Linked DNA regions of Arabidopsis thaliana. The protein of the gene in region 2 interacts with the protein of the main gene of each other region in a pairwise test. Each region holds a gene or a part of one and is shown on either strand. Other genes may lie near its edges.

Region 1 (4,398 bases), on a different chromosome or scaffold from region 2:
TTCTTGGGAAAGAAGGTACTCTATATATAGAGAGGCGCTTCGTCATCTGTTGGTACCGTTTATATCAAATTAGTGAATTGACCGATTTGTCCTTTGTTTTTTTCTCTTCGATATATACACTTAACGAAATTATTCTATAATCTTTGCTTATTGAAATAATTAGACCGATAGTTGTCAATATTTGTATATTTTACTTTGGTTTAAAGATGTAATATTAAGTTCTTAAATAAGAACTAAATTAGATCTATTTAACAAAACGTGAAGAATTTGCATTTTTATTTCGTTCTTTCCTTTTACAAAATGACTATGTTTTCTCTTATTGAAGAAAATAGTCAGAAATAAAATATTAATAAAAATTATTTATTATACAAGCATATTTTCTTGCAGAACATCATGTAACTTTTTTTAACACAAAAAAGGTCATGTAAATTTTATTTGTACTATTTTTTGTCGTCATACTAATCAAAATCTTCTACTCTGCTTACTAATTGTGAGATATTCACGTAAAGTACAACAACAACATCAAAAATCAAGATAATTAGACGATTTTATTGAGAAAATCACATCCCCGGAAATATTGGAGTTGGTTCTTGACTTTCTTAAATAAAATTAAAATCGCAAAGTGAAATTTAATTTTATTGTTGAAAAAAAAATATTATTTAATTCCTATAAACCCCTTAAGCATCGATTGTTAATCAAATTAATTTGTGTTCTTAACATTTTAGCAAAATTGTTTTATGTTTTTTCGGTAATTGTGGTTTCTAGATAGTTTCTAGTTAAATGATGAGATATACATACATCAAGATATGATATCTTCCATCCTCGAACAAATTGGAGTTAGTTTTGACATTTTATTTTCTTCTAACATATTAAATCCAACTGATTGTTTTTTTTTTCTTCTTCTTTTCTTTTTCAAATCCAGAAGCAATTATAACACCAAGAATTAAACCCCTAACGAAAACTCTAAGAAACACACATAAATAAAAAGCTAAAGAAGACGATTTTCTATTCACCTACCAAACCAAGAAAAATCATCAACATCATCTAGATAATCATAATTAATATCTTGTTGAGGTAGTTCTGTTGGGGGCGTAACTGGAATCCCCTCTGCCGCAGGAGGATGAACCGGTGGGAAATTAAACTGATAGCCGCCAATGAGAAAACGGCGAGAAGGTCTCTTGCAGATTACGCAAAGCTTACACCTCGAATGCGGCGGCACCGCGTCCTCGTGACTGTGAATCATCCGGTCGCAACTATCGCATAGAATCTGGTTGTGTGTAGGACAATAAACAACAGCATTTGAATTCGAAGCTACGCATAACTCACATCTCATTGCAAACATCCATCTCTCGCAATTGTTATCCCCGTGGCAGCTCCTCTCAAACATCTCTGCTCTTCTTTGGTGACCACCCACATGCTGCTGCTGATGATTATTGTTATTGTTATGGTGAACCACATGAGGCATATGTGCATGATCATGGTGTTGATTATTCATGTTAGCGAAGACGACTTGAGTTTGATGGCCATTAGTGGCACAATTGTAATGGTGCGAATAACATGATTGACAAAGAACCATCCCGTCCTCATAACAGAAAAGTATAGACGGATACATCGAGCAGTTATCGCAAAGTTGGTAACGTACGTGTTCTGCATGTATGTTATTATGATGGCGAAGGTTGTCACATGTAAGGCAGAAGTTAAGAGCTTCTGTAACACAATGGATCACGGCTGTTACATGTCTACATGTGTGACAAACTTGAGCCATGTTTCCTGAAAAATATTCATATAAGATTATAACAAAATTATCAACTTCGCAAAACGGAAGAGAAGAAACACGAATTTAAAATAAAAAAAAACATTCAACTTACACGAACCAAGGAGAGAAGGAAGCCAAAGTTTTGTTTTCTCTGTGAAACAATCTGTGAAGCTCGTATTTAGATGGAGTTTCTAATTTGTAGATTTTTTTTTAACAAACTGATTATGTAGAAGGATATATTTTACTAAGTTATATACTTATCTTTAACTATAAATTATTCTCAAAATTCAACATTACATTTATTAATTGAGAATAAGAAAGAAAAAAGATAATTATATGATATTTGAAAAATTGATCCTTGTTTCTCATTTTTTTGTTAAGAATAAAGTTTTTTTTTTTCCTTTTATCGGATCTTAAAGATCAGTAAGAATAATGTCGTTTCTTAAATTTTGATGTAGAAATCTTTTTTTTTTGAAGAAAAAAATATCCCAACTTTATCAACATAACCAAACGGGGGACAAACAGGTAAATTAATGAGTTTTTTTTTTTTGTATAACTATTTTGCTTTAGAGTTTAGATTGTTAGCTTAGTACTTACATACTTAAGTTTCTGATCAGTCTTTGTTATGATTTTCACATGTAGGTAGGAAGCTGCGCTTTTGTTCTTTTTAATGTGGAAATGCAGCCTTAACAATGGATGGTATATGAATTTGAAGCTGCTCTTTTGTGTCTCTTTTTTGATGCGGATTAGCATGCTTTTGTGTAAAAAACAACTTTGCTAAGAGTTACTAACTATTCAAGTGTTTGTATGGTTCTGTAATATGGTTTTTTGATACAATGCTAGCTTGAACTTGATGTCATGCTTAGGCCTGGGTACGAATTTCTTTTTAGCATTTAAAAACGGGCAATTCTTGTATTCAGCATCTGTGATTTCTCATTATTTTGTCGTGTAAAGTTACTAAACTAGTTTAATTTAGAATTTATAGAAAAAAAGAAGTGGCTCTCATGACAAGTAGTCTAAATTCAGTAGAACATAAGAGTTATTTCATCACAGTACTAAGAGGAAGAAGAGAAGTTGCTCTGCAATTCCTTGATGCCTTTGGAATCAAGAAAAGAAGTTTTGCCCTTGAGAAAATCAGAGTACCAATGAGCAGAGAGTCTAGGAGATCTCTTGCGATGTGGATCACTGAAATTTACAGAGTACAATCCATAACCATAATCGTACCGCCCTATAAGCTCGAATAAATCCATAAATGACCATACAAAATAGCCTCTAGTGTCTGATCCATTCCTACACGTAGCAATGTCCTTTTCCTTAATTACACGAACAAGATAAGAGAAGAAAAGATGCAATAAAAAAACTTTACTTACCTTATGGATTTGAGCACACCACCAATGTAAGCATTCATGTATTCCACCCTATGTGTATCCTTGTGTTGCGTCATCGGTGTACCTGTTTGTATATGACATTTTAAGTCCAAATCAAAAACATGAGGGAGAGACGAATAAATTAATCATAGAAGAGATTGACCATTCTCAAGAATGTAGACAGGAGGATTGTCATAGCTCTGCTTTATATACTCTAGGACAGCTTCCATAGTCCACGGAGCAACAGGATACTTGTCCAAACAAAAACAAAACAAACAATGAAAGATAGATTAGTAGCACTTATTTGTTTAAAGACTTATAATGTCAAGGAATATAAGGTGTTTTGTATCTGAATTTGGTAGCCTTAAAACTCTTACCTCTATAACTGAAAAATTCCCAAGGTCTTCTAACCAGTAAAACGAAGAAAAAATGAGTAGTAACAAATTATAAAGATAAAAGAGGTTTTTTTTTTGTTATACAAAAGAATGAGTCTGATTCATACAAGTCACATATGCGCCCATGTCTGAGTAGAAGTCCGGGTTTCCAGAAATAGAAGGTTTGAATTTGATGTTTGTGACAGAAGCCGCAAACTAATGATTGATTCCTATGAAGTCAGATGAGCCTTTAACTTGTTCTGATTCTTCCTCTGAGAAAACTGGCAGTCTTGATCCAATGGTTCTTTTCATTGTATCTGGATAGTCTCCAAATATAAGAGGTCCAAGGAACCTGAGTTTTAAAGAGCAGATTTTCTTTCTTTTCAGCTTAAGATCTTGCACATGTTGCCCAATTTGAAAAACCTTTTAGAACTGTTTGTGCCTGACTCACCAACCGAAATAGAAATCTTTGGCTCTTTGAGTTGCAATGGCATCATCCTTGGAGCTTGTAGAAGGAGTCAACCCCATTAAATATAAGCCAAAGCCTATGGAACCACCCTGCTTATCCTGCACATTGTATATAGTATGTTGCTTCTTATACATTCAAAAGAGGGTTATGTATAAGCAAGTATACCTTGTACTTTTGCTTATATAGTCTTGAAGCAGAGGCGTGCGCAAGAAGTAAGTTATGGCCTACAATATATGTTTCAGTAGAAGAGTTCCCTAACAAGCAGTTTTTGCCCGGTAAAGAACAACGACCAGGCGGTGTATCCCCATCGTTGTAACCTCCAATAGTAAATACATTAGCCTCATTGATAGTGGTCCAGAATTTGACATAGTTCCCAAACTCTCTGAAACAAACATCTACATAAGCAGTGAAGTCTTTGCTACAATGCCAAAT
Region 2 (5,384 bases):
AAAATTGTATTATTTCGAAAAGTATTTATGAAGTATTTAAACAACAACAAATTCTAACTTATCAATAACAAAATTTGATTTGAATTGTAATGGTTTGCTATTGTACCATTTTGGCCTACTTTGCTGTAGGTTTTAAATAGAAATATGAACTTAGAAGAAACCCCTATAAACTTATTACCCTCCCATATAGTTTAATCTTATCAATAAAGGGTTCGAGGTTGCATTTTTTGGGGATAACGACCAAAATCAACCCCAACTATTTTGATGCGGTCTTTTTTTAATTCAAATTTTGGTCATCTGTATTTATCAACCTAGACTTACATAATTTTTAAATAACAAACTGAACTGTGTAACATATACATGTTAATGTCGATTTGAATTGTTAAGTTAAAATTATCACTTATTTTGTATCTAAATCATTCCTTTTATTTAATTGGCTAACGATTAATATTAATTTATAATGAATATATGTTGAAATTGGCTAACGGTTACATAACTCAGATTTATTATTTGAAAATTGTGTGAGTTCGGATTGATAAATGCATGTAATCAAAATTTAGGTAGGAAAAAACCGCATAGAAATAATTGAGATTGATTTTGACCGTTCGTATTGATGTAATCAAAATTCCATGATTATCGATAGATCAAGCTGATTGCATAACATGAAGAAGAAGAAAACTTCCACTGAAAAGCAACTTGCTTGTTTTAGTTTTGAACTACCAAAAAACATTCAACTGTTCACAAGTTCTGTTGTAAAACAACTATTGTTGATTTCGGTTCAAGATCACGTTGTAATCGATAATTAAGATCATAACATTGTAATCAAATATAGTACATCTCTAGCATTTCTTTCATGCCTCCGGATCTGTGAGGAATTCCTTTTTAAAAATTTACTGAAATAGTCATTTCTTCATAGTAGTAATTAAAATTTTAACTTATTCATCATAGAGATAAAACGGTTGTCAATTACAATTAAAACCTAGACGATACTTAGCTAGTAATTACAAATTACACATAACGAGAGATAACTAGTTAACTACTAATATAACAACTGCATCATTAATCACTAGCGAAGCATAGTTGTGAACATACGAGTACGAAAGAGAGAGAGAGAGGAAAGAGCTTTAATCCCGAGCGACACCGGCGTAAGAGCTAGTTCAGACGTAGCTCAAGAGAAGCGCAAGGGCGAACTTCCGATTGGCCATACTTCCAGATGGCACCACTACCACCGTTGATGTGATCTTCACCGTGCATAGGGAAGAGAGGAAGCGTACGTCGATGTTCCAGATAAGCATCGCCACCACATTCTTCTTCTTCTTGATGACCTTCTAGACCAAACAGAGGCTTTGCTCTATCGAAGAAGTTGTAAGGTGCAGATGAGTAATGATGATCCATGTTTGCCCATCCTCCACCTACGTTGTTGTAATTCATAGAACAGTCTTGTTCCTTCACCCAAAAATTTCAGTTTCATTAAATTTCTATTCATATATGTAGTATAAATATTATTTGAATTAATGAATTATAGTTTGGTACGTACCATAGATCCATAGACATGGCTACTCATGTAGCCATTAGAAGCATTAACAACACCACATTCAGTACCTGAGCTTGCATGATTTAAATTCCCTTCAAACATATTAATATACGTATCATCAGTGATCATATATGTTGTGATTCCAGAATCCAGACCATACTATATACAGGGGAAAAGAATGAAGAAAGAGACATAAAATTAGTGATTTTTTTTCTACTAACCCAAATCCCTAATTGTGTTACAAGTCACAAATGAAAATAAAATGCACGTGAGTCTAGTTTCCATTACACAACAAAGAAACCGTTCTTTAGATGCAAATTTGGTTTGCCCCAATCAAGATCCATAACTTCAAATATACGTCATTACATGTACATAACATCTTCTTGGGTTTAATTATTTTTACTAATTCATGTAATAATAGATGGTGTGTAACATGTTCCTATAATATATATTTTAGATTTTTAAATCAAAACCATCTGAATAAATTCATAAATCAACAGCATTTTTTAAAATCTTTTTAACAATTAACATATACATATATCTATCAAAGTCATATATGTAGATCTTGTTAGTTTTTTTTTTTTTGTGTGTGCTAATTCATGTAATAGCTAGTGGTGTAAATGGTTCTCTTAGTAATTATAAAAAACCACCTGAATAAATTCATAAAAAAGCATGTATAAGAGAGATTAGTCACCGTTATTGAAGCTGGGATATGGCTTGTTATGATGATAGAGATGATGGTCTTGGTTAAGTTTAACGTTGACGGAATTAGCAGGTCTCTGCATGGGAACACCGTGATGATGGTGAAGTAGAGGATGATAATGATCGTTAGCCGCCATCATAACCGAGTTGGGTGATGAAGATGGTGTGGTCATGTTTGTTCCGTTGAATCTCTTCTTCTGACGCTCACGAGCCTTATGGTTCTGGAACCAGTAAAAGACGTTCTTGCCCTCAATCTTTCCGAACTGTCTCAGCCTTGCAGTGATCTTCTGGATCTGATCGGCTGTTGGTGACCGGATTGCATTGTTGTAGTAAAGTTCTTTGAGGATTTTGATTTGCTCCGTCGTCGGTGTCCACCTCGTGCTGGTCTGGCGACACGTGTAACCACCAGAGCCGGACTTGTTGTTGTTGTTGTTGCCGCTTTCTTGGTCGGCTTGATGATGATGATGCTGATGCTGTGGCGGCTCCATGTGTGTTTGATTCGACTTTTGTTCACAAAGTTAACGGTAAATAAGATCAAGACTTAGAGAGGAACAAGAGAAAGAGAAGTTTGAAGTTAGCAAGAAAACAACTTGCTGGTAGTAAAGAGATTTTAGGTTTTGTGTGAGAGAGAAGATTATATATATATAGAGAGATAGTAAGGTATTGAGTTATATATATAAATGGGGACCCAAAAAGAAGGTTTTACAATATTCTAGAAAATCAGTTATTCACTATATTATTCTTTTATGCATGTAGATATGATTTCATACATACAAAACCCTATTGAAAAATGTGCTTGGATATAAGAAATAAATTTTGCCAAAGAAAAGGATATAAGAAAGAAAAATAATCAATTGAATTAACATTCAAATAAAATGTTATGTTTAGGAAGGAAATTCTCTTGTCAAATATATTATTTGATTTTTTTTTATTCAGAGGAAAAATCGAAACTACTCTTGAGAGTTTTAGTGAGAATAATAATAATTTTTATGAAAAAATTTGTGGGGGATCGAATCAGAGGATATCTGGTGGAGAAGGATTGAAAGGGACAGAGAAGTTAGAAATAAACATGAAAATGGAAAGGGACAAAGGAGGGAATTAGAAAGGTGAGGGCATCATCGGTATTTACTTAGACGAAAAACAAACTCTCTTTTTTCAATTTCTCTGTCTCTTCACAATTATTACTTCACCAGCTTTAATTGTTATGTATCTGTCTACGTATGAAAGATATTTACCCATACACACAGAAAACAAAACAAAAATTCTAAAAGATCGTTATGAATTATTGTATCGTAGGAATGAAAGAAAACGATTATAATTTTTTTCTAGAATGAATAATAAAAAAAGTGAAAACCGTTTGATCATAAAAATACATTTTTCCTTCCTTATGGTCATGAGTCATGACACATAGGTGATATAGGATATTTTTCGTGGTGATATCGTCCGGAAATGTGTTGAAGAAATACTCTATATAATTTTACTTATGCTTTGCTTTAAAAGATATTAAAATTTATGTCAATTACAATGTGTGAAACGAGTGTGAAGACAGGTGTACTTATGAACATGTTGAGTATTCTTTAGTTAATTATATGCTCGAATTTATAGGAGCATGGATGGATCTTTTTGTATAAATGCGTGATTTATTCATTTTTTTTAAAAAGTTTGAAGGGCTTTGTTTTAGTGAATATGACTTTTGTAATTGAAAAGGAACAATACCCAACTTTTGTATAGTCTTATTGTTCTACGTAACAGCCACATATTGTATATAAAAGATATATAAAGATTTTTTTAGGAATCTACAAATTTCATAGAAGCTATTATAGTTTTTATGGGGAATGGCCCTGAAGATACGGCTGATAAAATATTTATTTTTTTTAAAATAAAAAACCAAAGATCCGATCACTGAAGTTGCTTGGCTATTTCATAGTATAGTTTTGTTTATATAGCCCCCATGATTTCTCGGATTCAACACAACGTGCAAAGAGTATCGGAAAATTAAAAATAGGTTTTACAAACTAACTATTGTAACTATTAATATTTGGAAAACAATCTAAGGATTGAAGTCTTAAAAAATTTTTTTTGTTAAAAGGTTAAGTCTTATAATCTTTTATCACCTAAATAAACTCAGTTGTATCCCAAATTTTTGTTGGTAAAGAAAGTATTTAGTTAGACTGGTGGATTACTCATTTTTTAACTTTAGTCGATTATATTGGATAAACTTTTGGATTCCATCCAATCGATATATCCGATTTGTAATGTCGTTTGGCATTTCTATCGAATCAACGGTCCAATATTTTTATCCAACTAGGAGATTACACCAAGTCACCAAACTATAAACTAACTAACAAATGATAAAATCATATCTCTAGTTGGATTGTGAATGTCTTTTGACAAGAAACAAAGAATGTCTTGTTACTCTACATGCGTATGCAGTGTATATATAGATGTACACTCCATGAGGATTATACTTCTTCACTATAATAAAGCATAAAGTTTGAAGTTAAAAAAAAAAAAAAAGATGTACACAAGCAACTACATGAACATATGGTCACATTTACATACTGGTTTTTTTTTTTGGTAAAACTTTACGTAGTGGTTGCTACTTAGAATACTCTCTATAGGCCCTTTGATTTATAAACTCCTATGAGTACGTACGGTAACGAGCATGCAGTGAGAAACAGGGGATCTTAATTTACGCATCACGATCTTTTTCATTGTCGTAAAGTACTGTTGAAGAGGCAGAGGGCTAAAAGACGCAGAGCTTTTGTAACTAATGTCTACGTGGCCCCTAAAGCCACTCTTCTTTATTGCAGAGATTTCATTTTCATTTAGGGCATCATTAGTTTCAGTTTGTACTTTTGCCCTAATTTCATGAAAACGTTTATAATTAGCTTTTATTATTTTGGTTTCCCGGAAATTAATGGGGGAAAATTGGGTTTGGAACATGGTCCCCTCTACGATCCGAGCCTTATATTCAGTCTGTCATATGTTATTCGCTATTTACACCTTACGTTACACTGTTTATATGTTTAGAGCATTTATTGAATTTTTAATTAGTTCATCAACGTACAACATTAGTGTTTGAGCTTTCAATATTCGTCAATCGTCATGACTTGATTGTAAGAAATTTTCCAGATATTATGCCAAT
Region 3 (4,772 bases), on a different chromosome or scaffold from region 2:
CAACTAAAGTTCTCAACAACCCAATAAAAACTACTCCTAATCATTAAATGCTTTTTCTCTGAGTTACTACTTAGATCTACCATAATTAAGACTGTTTAAAGATTAAAGATATACATGTCTTTATATACGAGTTACAGTAGACTTCACATAGTTGTGGAGATATTAATCGATTGTTTAATTCTTTTTAAAATTAAAATATCGATTGTTTTAAAATATTTTTCACATACTCTACAGTCTTTATCGAGTTAATTTATTTTTTTCTTATAGTAAAATGAACATTTTGCCTAAATCGTTATATATATTGACGCATGCAAAACAGATAATTAACAATACAAATTTCAGTAACTATTTGGAAGTTATTTAATTTGAAGCTAGACAAATTGTGAAGCATATATATATATGATGAATTCCCAACGTATATATGTTTGACTAGTATAACAGGATTGGATCTTTGTTGAGTTAACAAAAAAAGTGTATAGTTGATCAACATTGGAGAAGGCACTAATTGAGTTCTATGAAAGAAAGTCAAAAACCTTAAACAGATTTAAAAATGAAATAAAGAGTTGTGATGTTGAGTTGTTGTAGACAAAAGTTAAGGCAAAATATAGGCAAAAGGAGGGAGACATGAAACAGTGATTGTGCAATGAAATACCAAACAAGTCATGACCAAAACACATGTTTAACGACCAAAAACACCATCATGCTACTTCACTAAAAGTCCATCTCACATTCACTAATTTTAAATTTTAAATTTTATAACTTAGACTCTCAATTATGTTATAATTCAAACTAACGTCAAAATTTATAACTGTCATAAAATAATCATAATATCTGAGCACATACTGATCAAAAATAGAAAAATGGGGTATTTGCATCTGATCTTATAATCCTAATATTACATGTGATATATTAGTTGTTCACTCCGATCCTAGTCATTTATCCGTTTGGAGCAAGTCATTTGATTTCATTATTATTATAATATAGCACACTTATAAAATATACATAATGAGTGTGTCGAAGTAGCATGGACAAAAAGTGGTCTTTAATACAACTCGGATTATCCCTTTTTGCTAATCAAAACCATAATACAAATTAAAGAAAAAACAAATCAAAACTTCAAGGTAAGGTAACCTTATGATGCATGAAACAATAAGCAGGATTTATATAATAAAGTCGATAACATATAGTTAACAACAACAATCAAACGACCATCGAATAACGTAAATACTAATAATATTATTGCATATATAAAAAACATATATAATATAGAATGTTCTAAAAGACTGAGTAGAAGCCTGTAGTGTCTGCAACGACATCTCCAAAAGCAGCGATAGAAGAAGAAGATAAATCTTGCGGCTCCATCATCCCGTAATCTTCCATTGACATTGAAGCGGCAGCAGCACCATAGTTCGTGATCATGGCAGAGAGATCACACGAACCAAACTCATGATGATTCATCATCATCATCTCACCATCTTCGAAGTAGCTATTACTAAACCCTCCATATGGTTCAGAGGCTTTGCTTGCTACCGGAGTTGTGAAACTAGCTCCGGCTTGATTTTGGGTGGTGGTGGCCTCCGGAGGTGGTTTAAGGCAGTGGTTTGGGACAATGCAATCCAAGTAACCCGAGTTGTTATTGGACTTATTATGTTCTTCGCTTGTTAAAGAGAAGAAGAAGTTGTTTTCTTCGTCTAGTGAAGAAGATAACGAGCCGTTAGAAGATGAGTTTTGAGGACTATTACCAAACGCTTGAATATCCACGCTTTGATGACGAACTGGCGTTTTGAAAGAAGCCGCGGGTAAGACAGTTTGGGGGAGAGTGTGTTTAGGTTGTTGTGGTTGATGATAGTTTTGATAATGAGGATGATGATCGATGACAAACTGTGGAGAAGAGTTTGGTAAGAAAGATTGGTTGTTATTGTAAGGAGAGACAATGAGAGAGTGGAGATTAGGGTTTGTGAGGATGGTGTGGACATCAGTTGGAGTGTAGACGAAGTTGGTTCGAGCTTGAGTACCTCTCATTGAAAGAGCAGCTCTATCGTAGGCAAGAGCAGCTTCGTGAGCTGTGTCGAAAGTGCCTAGCCAGTGACGTTCTTTGGTGGTTGGATCTCTTATCTCGGCTGCGTAACGACCCCATGGACGTCTCCGGACTCCTAGGAACCTCCCTGGCTCCGCTTGCTTTGATCTCCGGCCTCGTCTCTCGCCGGTTGTGGTGGTGGTGGTTGTGTTGGCGGATGTGTTTTGGTGGATCAGAGCAAAACCCATTTGCGTTTGGGATGTTTCAAATGGTTTATTATGGTCTAGGGTTTTGGAGGTTGACATGATGATGAAGAAATGGTTTTTTTGAAAGGAGGTTTCTTTTAGGGTTTTGGTTAAAGATATCTTATGATGAGTAAGTTTTTTTTTGGCTTTGCTTCTGTCTAAAGATGATGGTGCTGTTTGAGAATGGAAGTGAAGTGTTGTTATAAATAGAGAGACAATGAGCTTGATAGAGAGAGAAGATAGAGAGACTTCACTTTTGATTCAACTGCTTTTAGTAGACCATCTTTTGTTTTGTTTCTTTTATTATATTTCCAAAGATATTATATTTTGCATCAACGACAAAAAAAACAAAAAAAAAAACGCTGACACATTAGTTGGATTTTTATATGGCTTAACCAGCTGAAATAAATTCATACAAATTTTAAACAGCTTAATTGACTGATTATTATTAAGGGTTTCTTTTTTTAAAACAGTCTTAATTTTAACTGTGTGTACAGTATATATATGTATGTATATACACGGATGGCTACTTATGAAAGCCTAAAACAGAGGCCAAGAATCATTGGAACTACAGCAAAATCTGGAATGTCACAGTAACCAATCTCGAGTTAGAAGAAAGAACAAGTAATAAATACATACTAAGTACCGAGTAACTTAAGAAAAGTAATTGTGATGTATATATTGCATCATCCTATTTGAATCTTCTATTTCAATGGGATCAAGCTAATTGATTAACTCAAATAATCTACTTAGTGGTCACGTGCAACATGCATAATAACCCTACATACCTTAGCCTAAAGGTCAAGGGTCTACGTAAAAATAATCGATATATTTCTTTAGGTTAAATCCCCTACTTAATTGATATATCCTTGAGATGATATGCATGCATTGCTAATTACGATAAGGATGTCCAATTAATTTGAGTGCACTGAGGTAGGTTCGATAATGTTATTTTCTAACACAATATATCAACAATTCAAAAATAAATATATTTCAAAATCAGTGTTAGTTTCTACAACCCCTGATCAAATCACATGGTTACCCGCATTTTAAGCGGAAATAGAAATGAGAACAATTTTGTCACCTTGTTCTGATTTTTCAATGGGAGTGGTTTAGAGAAAGACACGATGAACTAAACAAAAATTAAAATGCTTAGGAAGTACGTATAAATTTGGTTTTAATTAAATAGCTCAGTGGACAATTTTGTATTGATGTCCTTGTATGCAAAGTTGCAAACAAGCACAAGTCAACAACAATCTTAGTCTCTTTGTGTTTGTAGTTTTGTAGGATTATATATATATACATAGGAGCTTCGTCTATTTTCATATATGATTGCATTAGGAAGTTAATGCCTTACCCGACAACAGTTCTATTGATGAATCAAGAAAATTGCTCATAGTCAACGATAACACGACTGTTAAGTAAGAGTTCAAAGAAAAACAGAACAATTAGAAGATGACTATGAGCTCTAATCAAACTCTGGATTATTTAGTTTAGAGACTTTAATCAAACTTTTCAAAAGAGTAAGAACACTTACGTTTCAGTCATTGTGGAATTTAGATTGATATTTTTATGTATTCCATGTTCGAAAAAATGTATAATTAATAGAACGTTCTAGTTAATAAGAGAGTACATATTTTCATTAACTAATTAGTCTTGGGAAGAATACATATACAAAAATTCTTATAGTAGAACTCAATAAAGGCAAACATATAGATTTGGTGTGATAAGCTTTGATCTGTATTGAAATCTTTTTGGTTAAGTGTTAGTCTGTTAGATAATCTTTAGTATATCTAATTTGATGATGTTATAAAAGGCTAATGCTCATATATATGGATAAGTTAGTACTTTTGGTGTGAAGTACGTAATATGCAAGTATATATTAGCCTTTTTAGCAAAAACTTACGTAAATATATACGAGCATTAATAGAAATCCTGCAAATGACTACACAAGTTTTTGTAGCAAAAACAAATACTACGTCATATAAGCCACGTAAACCAACAATCAAATTAATTAGATTTGAATGAATACCTTGCCTTTTTAACCGAATGGGCTACGGTACAAAAGTGTGATGGACTCCTTGTATTAAGGGTTGGAAATGTGACGATTCTTGGTAAAGCTTTTTGCACATTGCTTAATGGCATTGGGAATGAAAATTATAATTCTTTTTTCATAGTATAAATGAGTCAAACTATTAATACTATAATATATGATGATATTAATTTTGGCTCTTTTAGAATTATATCTTTGACTAATACAACAGTAATACAATTGTGGTCGGACCACGATATAGTCATCATCTTCTGGTGCAACCGTTCCGATCCTAGCGATACAATTTACCAAACACACCAAAAATGTTGTGCGCCAGATATAACTCTACTGAAGTTTTATCAAAACAAAGATTAATTTTACCTAAATTTATATCGGATTATTAGGCCGAAATATAGAGTGGTACTATACAACTAATCAATTGTATAGGTAGGAATGTTTGCATCAAAACTGTAGGCAA
Region 4 (5,207 bases), on a different chromosome or scaffold from region 2:
AAATATATGTTGTGGTGGCCTTCACAACTTACAAGTGAGACTCCGATATTATTTTGAGATATTGTTTCTATTTTTTTCGGTAACTACTAACTTAGGACAAGCACACATTCACAGTCGTTTATCATAAATTCTTTGTGTAACTACTTATTCTAGAAAACCAAACTACAGTGAAAAAACTATATATACTGAAAATATGTGATTACCGCCTTATATAAATTATTTTTGATGTTAACATTTTCGTAAAATAAAATTTGTAGTGATCCTAAACAAGATAATTTGAAATTCTAGTTTTCGACTCCGAGAAATTATGAACCAAGCTCGGAACTTTTTTGGTAAAAGTAAAAAGTTGTGATGCTTTAAGTGTGAAAACCTAGTGAAAAGAAGAAAACGTAAATTTGTGGGATACCTAAAAAGCTACAGAAAACGATTTTTGTGTTTACGAAATGGCATAATTAAAACATTATTATAACTAATGAAATTTTATAAGCAATAACAGTTTGCCAATTATTCGATTCCGTGGATTAGTAGAGAGTTTAAAATATGATGTTGAATAATTTTGAGCGATCAGAAAAAGGAATGAACACCCGTCTCTTAACGGTGAGAGAGAATCGCAGCCTTTCGGATTCCACACGGCTCTTATTTTCCTCTATCCACTTGCTCACTTTTTAAACCGCATAATAATATTCTTTAGCGTATACTATTATAATATTCTTCTTGATTACGTCAAACTACAACAAATCAATCAATAGTATTGAAAAATATGTCTCAGTGTCACTCTTACGACTTTTATACAAACCATGTAACCATGACGACATGACTTCAGTTACACATTACCATATAAAACAGTTCATGAAAGGATTAGACTACACTAACATTTGTTTTAGATGAATGTCACAAAATGGTGATATAGACTAAATATAGTAGTCACTAGTCATTAGACAACGCATAAACTTTATAATATATCATTCACCTTGATATTATTATTGTATGAACAAAAATTTAATGTACACATTACATTACAACACAAGACAAAGCCATGCCTTTTAAACAAACTAAACATCAAACACTTCCACTATAAAACCTAATTCTTCTATACTTATAAAAAATGTATTTATGTATGTGTTCTAATTATTTCACCTTTATCTTTTAGAAAAACTATAAAAAGAAATAATACACATTTACAACATTATGACTACATCCTAAATTTCACCCCAAGTTATACATTGTATTATACCATTATCTATATATATATATATATAATTAATTACTATGGGGTTGGAAATTTAGTAATTATCTTTTCTTAGAACGGAGCACGGTGAGGGACACCCTTTCGTCTGCTTGAATTCCGGTGATTATAGATCGGAGGTGTTCCCGGAGAGAAACTAAAACCACCTTCATCACCAGAGCTTGAAGACCTTTGATCACCATTGGGACCGTAGTCATCGAATCTAACGGTTGAGATCGAGAGACCACTCATCAGACGGTTGAAAGCATTGGTCTTACGCATCTTAGTCGGTGTAGTAGCTTCATCTGATTCCGACCCACCAAGGTACTCTCTCCCATGCTTTCCTTTCAAAGAGAAGGTTAGAGATAAATCTCCTCTCCTCATTCCTCCAAGCTAAACAGAACAAAAAACAACCAAAGGACAATATCGTTATTTCCACAAATAACATTACAAAAACAGAGCATATCCACATGAATCACGAACAAAACTAAACAAAACCGGATAAAATTTGATATAGATATCATTAAGAAGTGAAATGCGTTAATGGGTTTTAAGAAAGTTTACATTTTTGTTAAAACCATATGAATTGTTTCAAACAAAAATGGTGAAAACAGGGGAAAAAACAGAGGGAGAGTCTTTTTGTGTTATACCTTGCAGCCGAGAGAGCAGAACCTGAAAGAATCAAGGAGACTTCTGCAACAGATTTCACAAGTGTTTGTAACACCTTTACCGATTCTAGGCTGAGGTCTTTCATTGAGGAACACGATCTTTGCGCTGTTGATAATATATGTCTGAACACAAGCGATGTCTATGAACTTCTGTATCTCATTCACTCTCACAACGTTATGGTACGAAGATCTTCGTATCTGCAAATTTTGATTCTTTTCATTAACATTACAATTAAAAAACCGAGAGATTGAGGAGGAGAAAAAGAAGAAGAAGAGATATTGAACCTGAACAACACGATGGTCTTTATGTTTGACTAAACAGTAAGAGCAAAAGGCATTTCCAGCACAATCAAGACAGAACAAATTGCATTCGTTTTTGTTTGAATCGACATGGATGGAACAAGGGACGAAGTAACTCCCTCGTAGCATTGGCATTAGCCACGGTGGACTTGTATAGTCTTCTTCTTCCTCTGTTCTTATCATTGGTCCCTGAACAAAACGAAACCAAATCAGAATCTGGAGAAGATTGATAGCAAGGTAAAAACAAACAAAAAGAATTAAAAATAAGACTCACCATGACTTTCTTGTGATTGGCCTTGAAGGCCCCGAAGTTGAGTTTGTGATTGTGGTTTTCGATAGCCAGATTTGCGAGCTCCAGTGTGTAGCAAAACCTTTACGAGAAGAAGGTAGAAGAAGAAGAAGGAAGAGGAAGAGGTAAGTGAAAGCGGCGGCTGAAAGAGAGAAAATAAAGGGTTTTATTTTTATTTGAAGGCGGTCACGATAAGTTTATGCGGTTTATATTTCATACGAATTTCATTTTAAAATATTTTTAGAGTTATTTTTGTTTATTATTAAAGGTATCTTTTTTGTTTGTTCCTAAATTATATTTTTCTGACTCCTTTATTTGGGAAAATCAATTTGTTTTCTTCTTTATGTAATTTGGGAAAATCATTATCTCGTTTTTTTTTTTTGAAGTCCTCCAAAAACACACGTATCTTGAATATGCGTGTCTGTCCAGTGTGCATCTAGAAGACCTAAAAGGAAAGTCTTAAAAGGTTAAAAATAAAAGGTGAAAATGCGATATTATTGTTCAAATATGGTCATAAATAATTACGTTTCGACATAGAAAAAAATAGCATACTAATTTTTCAGCTTACGAATGATATAATGATTGATATATTTTCATATCATCATATGTATAATAAGCGGACAAACACATATGTGGATGTCAAATCTAGTTAAGCATTGAGAGTGATACAACAAGAATAAAGGAACTCCCACACTTGAATTTGTAAAAGTCAAATATGAAAATAAAAATTAATTATGGTCAGAATTAGAGAGACAAATAGTATTATCCTAATTCTTTGTTTTTCGTAAAATTTAAATCCGAAAATTGAAGAGATAAGCAAAAAAGAGAGAAGAGGTGGCGATAGCTGAAAAGCCAAGACAGATCGACGGGTATGAGAAGAGACAGAAGCGAGACTAGTCTTGTTAAATCGTGAGCCGTTGGATGATGAGAAGAGCCTTCTCGTATTATCCTTTTTCGTGGGACGTGTCGGAAGCTTTTACGGTTTTACCCCCTCCTCCGATTGACACTTCACACTCGTGGAGAACTCTGAGCCGTCAAGATGATAGTTAGAGTGGGACTCACTTTGAGTCATAGGTCAACGTTCAGCTGCCACGTTACTTAACGTGATCCAAGAAACAATAAATGGAGTTCGTTTGTAGTTCAAAGTTAAAAACAAATTATTAAACTTTTAGAAGTAGAGAGACTAGAGTTGTTTTTGTAAATTTGTGTGTGTGTGTGTGTATCGTTTTTAACCTGATAGATTCTCTGGTAAAAAGTCAAATCCTGTAGTCTTAGAGAATCTCCTTTGTACTTGGACGTTGTTAAAGCAAAAAAAGTAAGCAATTCGAAATGTACGAGTGTGTCATGTACTGAACAAATAAAACATTTTAAAAAATTCAAAATGTTGATTACGAGTGTGTCATGTACTGAACTAATAAACATTTTCCAAATACGGTGAGATTTGATATTGAATATTGTGAATATTAAACAACTAATAGAGTGTAAAACATAGATATTAGCTTTTGATGTCGAAAGCAATTAAAGATACTAATTAAGGAGATAGACATGTAAAAAGAGAAGTGTGATCCACGTCATGAAAAAATTATGTGACCACTAATAGTTAACAATGTAATTGGAAATCCGACCAAAGAAAGTGAGCATAGAACGGCGATGAGGAAAGTGGAAGAAACATCTTTTTAATTTGTATTCTTATCTCTTTCAAATTGGCAAAAAAGAAGCAAAAGAGAAGAGGCGTTTAAACAGTAGAACGCACGTGCCTCACGTGACCTTTGTGCACCGTTTGACCACGTGAGTCGTCAGAAAAACGAGGGTTGTCTTAGTAGAAGCCAAACATGCAAGTTTTAAGAACTAAATCATGCATGAAGTCGGAAAATGAAAATCTACCCGATATCTAAACCACTTCTTATAGAATTGGTCCTATAAAAATGGACGGTAACCTAAAAATCAAATTTGAATGGTAGCTAAACTAGTTAAATCTATAAACATGCTTTGGACGAGTCGGATCATCAGTTGAGACTTGCGAGGTTAAAACTACATTCTCTCTATTTATTGGTATACAATCCGAAAAATGTTTTGAGTTTTTGTCTATAGTTTTTTAAGATAAAAACTAAAACACATTATGTTTTTCTTTCCGTTTCATTTTCTAAGTTTGGGAATGCGGACAAATGGAACCGAACCTTACCGGATTATCATTGGGTACGATTAGGTGTGGCGGGTCCACTACAGTCTACTTTTTTAATCATCACCCAAATGTTATATATTTTTTAACGAAGATTAATGAGCAATTTGGATGACCAACAAAAAGTGCAATTTGCAGCACGATGGAAAGGATTTGAACCCTTTTTTTTTTTTTAATTCTTTTTAATCAATTTGGGTGCTTCACTCTCTTTTGCAACTTGCTTCTGGTGGCAAAGAAGAGCCAATGGAAAAACATGTTTGGCCCTTAATTAATTACACGCTTCCAAAACAAAAGAAGTCCTTAAACTTAGAAAATTACAATATTGATTACTTTGTGGTTTGATTTAGATTAGAGCTGAACGTCGTGATGATACTTAGATTAGATACGCATATATAACTCGGCGATTCACTTTTTACAATGAACTATTTTATAAAAATCTAGGATGCAGATGAATTAATATATTCAATAAAATCTTATCAATTCTTAATAACAAAAAGATTAAATATTTGCTTACTCTTAATTGACTTTAAAAAAAGGGTAACAAAA

What was found.
Region 1: the proteins of WUS (region 2) and BBX26 interact in a two-hybrid assay, tested with the Arabidopsis thaliana proteins (one large-scale study listed by BioGRID).
Region 3: the proteins of WUS (region 2) and PUCHI interact in a two-hybrid assay, tested with the Arabidopsis thaliana proteins (one large-scale study listed by BioGRID).
Region 4: the proteins of WUS (region 2) and AT1G21000 interact in a two-hybrid assay, tested with the Arabidopsis thaliana proteins (one large-scale study listed by BioGRID).

The regions. Positions count from the first base shown.
Region 1 is NC_003070.9:22,216,068-22,220,465, forward strand, and holds BBX26 (B-box zinc finger family protein), read right to left. Parts: upstream 1,766-4,398; coding exon 1,010-1,765; downstream 1-1,009.
Region 2 is NC_003071.7:7,807,948-7,813,331, forward strand, and holds WUS (Homeodomain-like superfamily protein), read right to left. Parts: upstream 2,865-5,384; 5' UTR 2,725-2,864; coding exon 2,229-2,724; intron 1,627-2,228; coding exon 1,538-1,626; intron 1,447-1,537; coding exon 1,153-1,446; 3' UTR 924-1,152; downstream 1-923. Other genes in the region: AT2G17960 (uncharacterized protein), read right to left, coding at 4,433-4,507, 4,892-5,182. UniProt on the Arabidopsis thaliana protein: Transcription factor that plays a central role during early embryogenesis, oogenesis and flowering, probably by regulating expression of specific genes. Required to specify stem cell identity in meristems, such as shoot apical meristem (SAM).
Region 3 is NC_003076.8:6,163,584-6,168,355, forward strand, and holds PUCHI (Integrase-type DNA-binding superfamily protein), read right to left. Parts: upstream 2,458-4,772; 5' UTR 2,323-2,457; coding exon 1,276-2,322; 3' UTR 943-1,275; downstream 1-942. UniProt on the Arabidopsis thaliana protein: Probably acts as a transcriptional activator. May be involved in the regulation of gene expression by stress factors and by components of stress signal transduction pathways.
Region 4 is NC_003070.9:7,335,182-7,340,388, reverse strand, and holds AT1G21000 (PLATZ transcription factor family protein), read right to left. Parts: upstream 2,785-5,207; 5' UTR 2,471-2,784; coding exon 2,468-2,470; exon of another isoform or gene 2,464-2,467; intron 2,383-2,463; coding exon 2,179-2,382; intron 2,092-2,178; coding exon 1,876-2,091; intron 1,619-1,875; coding exon 1,301-1,618; 3' UTR 937-1,300; downstream 1-936.